2 linked regions of the Saccharomyces cerevisiae S288C genome follow. The gene in region 2 interacts genetically with the main gene of each other region. Each region holds a gene or a part of one and is shown on either strand. Other genes may lie near its edges.

Evidence for each region. A genetic interaction does not mean that the proteins touch.
Region 1: mutations in GYP7 (region 2) and TRP4 together harm fitness more than expected from each alone (negative genetic interaction), as found in Saccharomyces cerevisiae (one large-scale study listed by BioGRID).

What each region holds. Positions count from the first base shown.
Region 1 is NC_001136.10:1,182,994-1,186,389, forward strand, and holds TRP4 (anthranilate phosphoribosyltransferase), read left to right. Parts: upstream 1-1,753; coding exon 1,754-2,896; downstream 2,897-3,396. Other genes in the region: thioredoxin-disulfide reductase TRR1, read left to right, coding at 306-1,265; SPC110 (Spc110p), read left to right, coding at 3,114-3,396. UniProt on the Saccharomyces cerevisiae protein: Catalyzes the transfer of the phosphoribosyl group of 5-phosphorylribose-1-pyrophosphate (PRPP) to anthranilate to yield N-(5'-phosphoribosyl)-anthranilate (PRA), the second step in tryptophan biosynthesis.
Region 2 is NC_001136.10:33,720-38,402, forward strand, and holds GYP7 (GTPase-activating protein GYP7), read right to left. Parts: upstream 2,759-4,683; coding exon 518-2,758; downstream 1-517. Other genes in the region: YPD1 (Ypd1p), read right to left, coding at 1-199; MFG1 (Mfg1p), read left to right, coding at 3,078-4,454. UniProt on the Saccharomyces cerevisiae protein: GTPase-activating protein (GAP) that most effectively accelerates the intrinsic GTPase activity of Ypt/Rab-type GTPase YPT7 involved in vacuole docking and fusion. It is also active, but to a lesser extent, on YPT31, YPT32, YPT1, YPT6 and SEC4.

The DNA of each region.
Region 1 (3,396 bases), 1.1 Mb from region 2:
TGTGAACGCTTCAGTATACAGTACGGCAGTAAGTGTTTCATTCTGTTCTGGATTAATAATCTTTCACTTTGCCTAGCCATTTGGGGGCGGGTTTTGGCTGGGTTAGCTTCTCCTTAGTCATGGAGAAAAAAAATCGCCCGCAAGTATCTCGAAAAAGGAAAAAATGCCCACGCGTATAAGAGTGGACCCAACTGCTCGAGGTTTCAAGAGCTTGTAGATTAATTTCTGTAGTTCAGTTATACTTGCCTACAAGTGCTATACAGCAAATAGCGAACAGTACGAAAGTAAACATCATATTATCAATAATGGTTCACAACAAAGTTACTATCATTGGTTCAGGTCCAGCTGCACACACCGCCGCCATCTATTTGGCCAGGGCAGAAATCAAGCCAATCCTATATGAAGGTATGATGGCGAACGGTATTGCTGCCGGTGGCCAGCTAACCACCACTACAGAAATCGAAAACTTCCCAGGTTTCCCAGATGGTCTAACAGGTAGCGAACTGATGGACAGAATGAGAGAACAATCCACGAAGTTTGGCACTGAAATTATCACGGAAACAGTTTCCAAAGTTGATCTGTCTTCCAAACCATTCAAGCTATGGACCGAATTTAACGAAGACGCAGAACCTGTGACGACTGACGCTATAATCTTGGCCACAGGCGCTTCTGCTAAGAGAATGCATTTGCCGGGCGAGGAAACCTACTGGCAAAAAGGTATTTCTGCCTGTGCCGTGTGTGATGGTGCCGTCCCCATTTTCAGAAACAAGCCATTGGCCGTCATTGGTGGTGGTGACTCTGCATGTGAAGAAGCTCAGTTCTTGACCAAGTACGGCTCAAAAGTGTTTATGCTTGTCAGAAAAGACCATTTGCGTGCTTCTACCATTATGCAAAAGCGTGCTGAGAAGAACGAAAAAATTGAAATCCTTTACAACACTGTTGCGCTAGAAGCTAAGGGGGATGGTAAATTATTGAATGCCTTGAGGATTAAGAACACTAAAAAGAATGAAGAAACCGATTTGCCAGTCAGCGGTTTATTTTATGCAATTGGCCACACTCCAGCAACAAAGATTGTCGCTGGCCAAGTCGACACTGATGAAGCGGGCTACATTAAAACTGTCCCAGGCAGCTCATTAACCTCCGTTCCAGGATTTTTCGCTGCTGGTGATGTTCAGGATTCTAAATACAGACAAGCTATTACTTCTGCTGGCTCTGGTTGTATGGCCGCTTTGGATGCTGAGAAATACTTAACTTCCCTAGAATAGATGAATTTTCCATTATAAAATAGATACACTCAAATTTTTGTATACTTATCCAACAAATCGTTACTTTCTCCTTTTCTTTAATAAAAAGCAAACCATGAATTTTATTTCTTTTCCCCATTATTAGAGAAAGCCAATACATAATCTACATATATTGCGTGTCTGAATTAAACTTTTTAGACACATGACATAGGCCATCGGCTTACTTTGTAACGCGTGGTTGCCTATACACCGACTATTAAGTTATGACTAATATTATTGCTGCGCTTCCCCACCTGCATTTTTCTTGTCGTCTTTGCCAAAAGGAAAAAAAAACCTACGCAGATTGACTCTCTAAAAAATGATTCATGACCAGACAATTCAGTAAACATAAACTCTGTTGCATTCATTCTTCTGGAAAACTTTATAATAAAGCATCTGATATTACAGCTACTGACAACTAAGTGAATTTAAACTGCAATAATCACAAGAAAACTTAGTATTCCCTTATCATGTCCGAGGCGACTTTGCTATCTTACACCAAGAAATTATTGGCTTCTCCGCCGCAATTGAGTAGCACAGACCTACACGATGCGTTGCTGGTTATATTAAGTCTTTTGCAAAAATGTGATACAAATAGCGATGAGAGTCTTTCCATCTATACCAAAGTTTCGAGTTTTCTCACGGCCTTGAGAGTTACTAAACTTGATCACAAGGCTGAATACATTGCGGAAGCTGCAAAGGCTGTGCTCAGACATTCCGACCTTGTTGATCTACCTTTACCCAAGAAGGACGAATTACACCCGGAAGATGGACCAGTAATCTTAGATATTGTAGGTACTGGTGGTGACGGACAGAATACTTTTAATGTTTCCACGTCTGCTGCTATCGTTGCCTCCGGAATTCAGGGCCTAAAAATTTGTAAGCACGGTGGTAAAGCTTCTACATCCAATAGTGGAGCTGGTGACCTAATTGGAACTTTAGGCTGTGACATGTTCAAGGTTAATTCATCGACAGTGCCCAAACTTTGGCCTGATAATACGTTCATGTTTCTACTTGCTCCTTTTTTTCATCATGGAATGGGCCACGTTTCTAAGATACGCAAATTTCTTGGAATTCCGACTGTTTTCAACGTACTGGGACCACTTCTACATCCAGTTAGCCACGTAAACAAGAGAATATTGGGCGTTTACTCAAAGGAACTTGCGCCTGAATATGCCAAGGCAGCCGCTTTGGTATATCCAGGAAGCGAAACTTTTATAGTTTGGGGACATGTTGGGTTAGACGAAGTATCACCTATAGGCAAAACTACTGTCTGGCATATTGATCCGACATCGTCCGAACTTAAATTGAAGACCTTCCAATTAGAACCTTCTATGTTTGGTTTAGAAGAACACGAGTTGTCGAAGTGTGCTTCATACGGCCCTAAAGAGAATGCGAGAATTCTAAAAGAAGAAGTCTTGTCCGGCAAGTACCACCTTGGCGACAATAATCCTATTTATGACTACATCTTGATGAACACCGCCGTGTTATATTGTTTAAGCCAAGGTCACCAGAACTGGAAGGAAGGGATCATTAAGGCAGAAGAAAGCATACATTCTGGTAATGCATTACGTTCTTTAGAACACTTTATAGATAGTGTGAGCTCCTTGTAGACATTATTTCATATGTTATACTTAAACTAGATAGAGACGTTTTATTTGTACTAAGCTGAACATTACCCTAATTACGCGTTATAAGTTTTAATCCTTCATTTTGAAGGAAAACAAATAAACAAAAAGTTGATGTGGAACAAATACAATGTGCGCGGATATCTTAAGCAACTTCGTTAGTTACAGTCCACACAAAGCGAAAAAGGGCTGATAAACACTCATGGACGAAGCGTCACATCTCCCAAATGGGAGCTTGAAGAACATGGAATTTACGCCTGTAGGATTTATCAAATCCAAGCGAAACACCACGCAAACACAAGTTGTATCGCCTACTAAGGTTCCAAATGCCAATAATGGTGATGAGAACGAAGGCCCTGTTAAGAAAAGGCAGAGAAGAAGCATTGATGATACAATTGACTCCACAAGGCTATTTAGTGAAGCTTCACAATTCGATGACAGCTTTCCAGAAATTAAGGCTAACATTCCGCCTAGTCCAAGGTCAG
Region 2 (4,683 bases):
TTAAAAAATGGCCCAGATTGTCTAATTCGGTAAGATTTTTTTCACCGTCCAGCTGTCGTTGCATTTGAGCAAAAGTTGTTTGTGCCTGGTCGATAAATTGAATAATTAGACCTTTAGAAAAATCGGAATCATCGTCATCCATAGATATAATTTCATTTAAGATGGTCCAATTGATGATTTCTGAGGGAATAGTAGACATTATTGTGTGTATTTTCTTGTTTCCGAGAACGAGTGTTGTTATTTCTTTTGAATTTTTCAAAGAAATAAAACTATTACACGTCAGTGGTTATCAATGATCCAGAGCACAACTATCGACCAACCCAACCGGTTTAGAAATTAAAAACAATAATGTTCCTAAATATAGGTTCAATTAAATTTGATAAAAATATTAAACTTTTTATGTAATTTTTCTTCAGTTTTTCCGTTTCGGGCGGGTTACGGATGTATTGATGATTATGTGGCATAAACGAATTATATCTCCGGTATTCAATATGTAAAGTTCCGTTTCTATTTACCACTATTTAACGGAATTTTTGCTCCTTTGCCCTTCATGTCTTATGATAGGTTTTTTAGAAAGAAGCAGGGTCAACCTCTCGCTCTGACAAGGCAATACGCCGGTAGAGGATGAGGATGAAGAGGAGGATACGTTTTGTAAATCTCTTTCCATGACGTGCATCATTTTCTCAAACTTCTTGAACAAAAGCTCTGCTCTAACCATTAGGTCATTCCAATCCAACTTCCCGTTAAGTTCATTAAAAAATTTTAATATTTGGTCGAACTGATTTAGATGTTGTAAAATAGCTTGTGAGTTTTTCTGTAGAATGGCCAACATGAAGAATAATTGGAATTGTGAACTGTAGTAGAAAGTCCAGAAATTCTCCCAAATGTGCATAATATCTTCCATTTCAAATTCTCTCTTGAACCATACTAGAAGCATTCGAAAGCAAAAGAACAAGTTTCCTGAATCACACTTGTTTAAATGTTCGCTCAATTCGGGTAGCATTAATTGTACCAATTCCACGAGAGTTAACATTTGTTCATGGATGCCACTCTGGTCTCTTAGAAAATTTCTTTCCATAATGTCCATGAAGTGCGTAAAACACCAAAACGTTTTCCATTCTTCCTTCATGATGACATAAATAGGCGATAAAAGATCGGTCATCCCCTGCACGTAGCCTAAGTTTGTGTTGTAGACATTATAAGTGATAAGAATGTTTTGTAAATGTATCAAATGTGGGTTCCTGACTCCATCGTCTGCATCATCGCTCTCGTCATTAGCGGATTCGGGGCTGGTACTGTTATTTTCATTTGCTGGGAGTTGTTGTGGCGGTGGTGGTAATCCATCGATGGTATTGTATTGAAATATCTCCAAGTTTCTATCACAGCGTCTCACATCTTTAGATATTCTGAATAATTGATCGTTCCAATATTCCTCTTCATCTTCATCGTCAAATTGTAAAAAATCTTTTGACCAGGTTAGTTTCAATTGATCGTATTCCGCGGCTAAAGTTTGATCGATTTGTACCCTCTCGTCTTGAGAAGAATCCCACGGATATATTTCTAAGAGAAAACCCCAAACTTTCCCTCGCAAACTGTCATTTTCTAACCCACCATGAAATATGAAATCCTTAACTTCGTTTACCGTGACCCTCAGCCTCCCATCGTTCTCATCCCATAGCGAATTCCATTTCGCTTCCGTTAAAGGAAATTGTCTTTGCAGAGCATTATTTATTTCAGTATCACTTAATTCATCAGTTAGATTCAGGTCGTTGAAAATGTTATTCCTATACGAATCAAAGAGTTTGTTCTGCTTTTGATACCTCTCAGCTTCCTGTTTTACTCCTAATGACCAGTTTGCCAAATACACTCTTGCAGAGTCATAATCCTGTTCAATTTGTTTAACCTTCTCATTGTTCAGAAGCTTTTGCAAGTATTCATTGTCGATTTGTGATTTTTGTATGGGTGAGTTGTTAGTCAGCCAACTATCGATAAAATTGGTAGACTTGGTAGTCACGTCTGCTATCTTGCTCATTACGTTCCATTTCCATTCTTGGAATTTCTCGTTTAGTTTCACACCGGCGGTAGCGAGTTCAGTTGTATCTTTCTTCGAATTGTTATAACTTTCCAATAGATCCTTGGAAACGAAATTTCTCAAATCATTCAAAGAGGGATTTACTAACCAAAACTCTGGCTCTAAGTTTGATTTCTTGAGTTCCATCAGTTCGTTGATTTTGTTTCTCAAATCTACGCCACCCCAATACAATTCGTCCGAGTCATCAAATGGGTTCATGGATTTGCGTAGTCTTTTTAACTTGTCCGTAGTTGATGGGCAGAGTTGGTCATGAAAGAACAAGACAGGAGGTTGAAAGCCCGTAAACTGTTCTGTCAAGGGATATATTACCAGAGATCCGACATACCAACCATTTGGACTAGGAGGCCTAAATTGGATGCAGTATATTTGTGAGAGAGAAATTTCGAAAGCTTGACCTAAAGAAGTATTGACCAGGTTACTAAAGTTTATTGAATTTTCAATAACAAATGGTGTAGAAGTTGGACATGTGCCCACTTTAGCTTCATGTTTTAGTAGTTTTGATATCTCTAATGTGGATAAGCCAGATTCTGGGATATATTGGAGAATTGCTTGGTGGGATAGCTTATTCGCTTCCAATGTGAGTAGCAGGAAACCAGCAATATTATCTCTAGCATCGCTTGTTGGGTGTAAGAACACTTTAGATTTGCAGAATAGTATCTTACTCATCAGGGGATGTATGAATGACTCTTGTAGAACTTTGCCAATTTGTGCAACCTATATCTGAGAAACTGAATAGTATATTTGAGCACGATAAATTGATTTATATCTGACCAATTTATGGAAAGTTCTTAACTATTTCTTGCAAATGCGCCTCTCTTTATATAGAGCAGAACTTTGCCCCATATAGTATTGTTTAAGCCTCTCGGATTTCTTTTCTCATCTTGTGGGGCTTCCCGCCTGAACTAAAAATATTAACTATGGAGCAATAAAGACAACACTTGACACTGTTCATGGGGCAGAAGGAAAAGCAAAGATTATCTGCAATATGTACCAAGGCCCACCGCAACCGCCTCCTCAAGCTGTGCCGATGCCTTACATTGTGAATAATAACACACCACCGTACCCAAATGGTAATATTAACTTTCCTCCCACCGCGCAGCAGAATATACCGCCCACGGTTTATCCACAACAAGTGCCATTTCCAGGTCAACCACAGGGGGGTCAATTTCCACAGCCTTCATCAGAACAGCAGGTGTTTAACCAGCTTCCACAAGTGACTCAAACTTTTCACAACTCTGCGCAGAATACGAATGCAACTGGGGGCCCTGGCAGCGGGTCTATGCCAATGTTTACGCCGGTAGCATCCTTTCCCCATCCCATGGCTACAGCAGCAACGGCAGCTGCTCCGTTACCACGGTCTGCATCCCAGGCATCTTTATCTATGTTACGGGTGCCGTATCATGTAAGAAAATACTTATCTAATTTGGCGATGTTGAAATTGTACGAAATAATAAATGAGGTGAATACGGCAATGGGTAAGATTGGCCTGCTTTCATTCTGGACAGAATTAATATCAGATATTTTTACACCTGATGCAGTTATAAGGTATAGTAAAAAGTCTATGACAGATTATAGAGAATTCGAATTTATCATCCCAGTGTTCCCAGTTATTTGCTCTACATTAGGCAGATTTGGCATCGTTAGAATGGAAGTTAAGGTTTTACAATTGAAAACACAAGTTCTAAGTAATTCTACGATTTTTTTCAACTGTCCTCGTGTCACATTTGTCTATTATTATCCTGATGGTTCATATATTACACATTTTTCCCAAATGAAAGGTGCTTTCGATTTGGACTTGAAAATTAATTGGCTGGACGTATCTATGCATAGTTTTGTCCCTGATATTGAATGGAATGCAGTGGAACGGCTTTTGAGTGATGACACAAAGTCTACAGAAATTGAACAAATATTCCGTAAATTGAAACAAGAAGATGTCAAAGAGCAAGGGAATTCTTTTGCAGAAAATAATGCTACGAATGTTCCTCCGAATTTTGAGGCCATCACTCAGCTGAGATCATATTTTGACGTATTCAGAAACGTCTCTGTGTTTGGCACTCAAGAAGGGTTGATGAGAGTCATGCAAATAAGTACCGTTATGTCTACTTTGAAAAACCTTCGAAAGTTTCAAATTGAAAAGAACATTGATAGTCCCGTGACCGCCCTAAGTGCGTACATTGACGCCGACAAGAAGGACAGTGGAAGCGAGCCCTTGCACGCAAAGAGGCGACGCAACAGCGGTATCTCTCCTCGCACCACGACGTTGGGGCCAAACGGCAACTCCAATACAAGCAATGAAGAGCTTCCAACAAGTGATGTGAATGATATTAACAAAGACATGACAAAAAAGAAGATGAAGTTTTAAAGAAGGTAATTACCTAACGTCACCCACTGAAATATTAAGAGAATTGCATGAATCTAGCAGAATGGGAATGTGACATGGTAGCAGCAACCGCAAGGTGTGGCATAGATTATAGTAGTGACAAAACTGTACAATTACTATATAGTGAGATATAATACAATGGTTTATTCAAGATATATTAACCCCCGGGTAATGGACCAAATTTGGAAAAGTCTCGGATTCTCATAAAAGC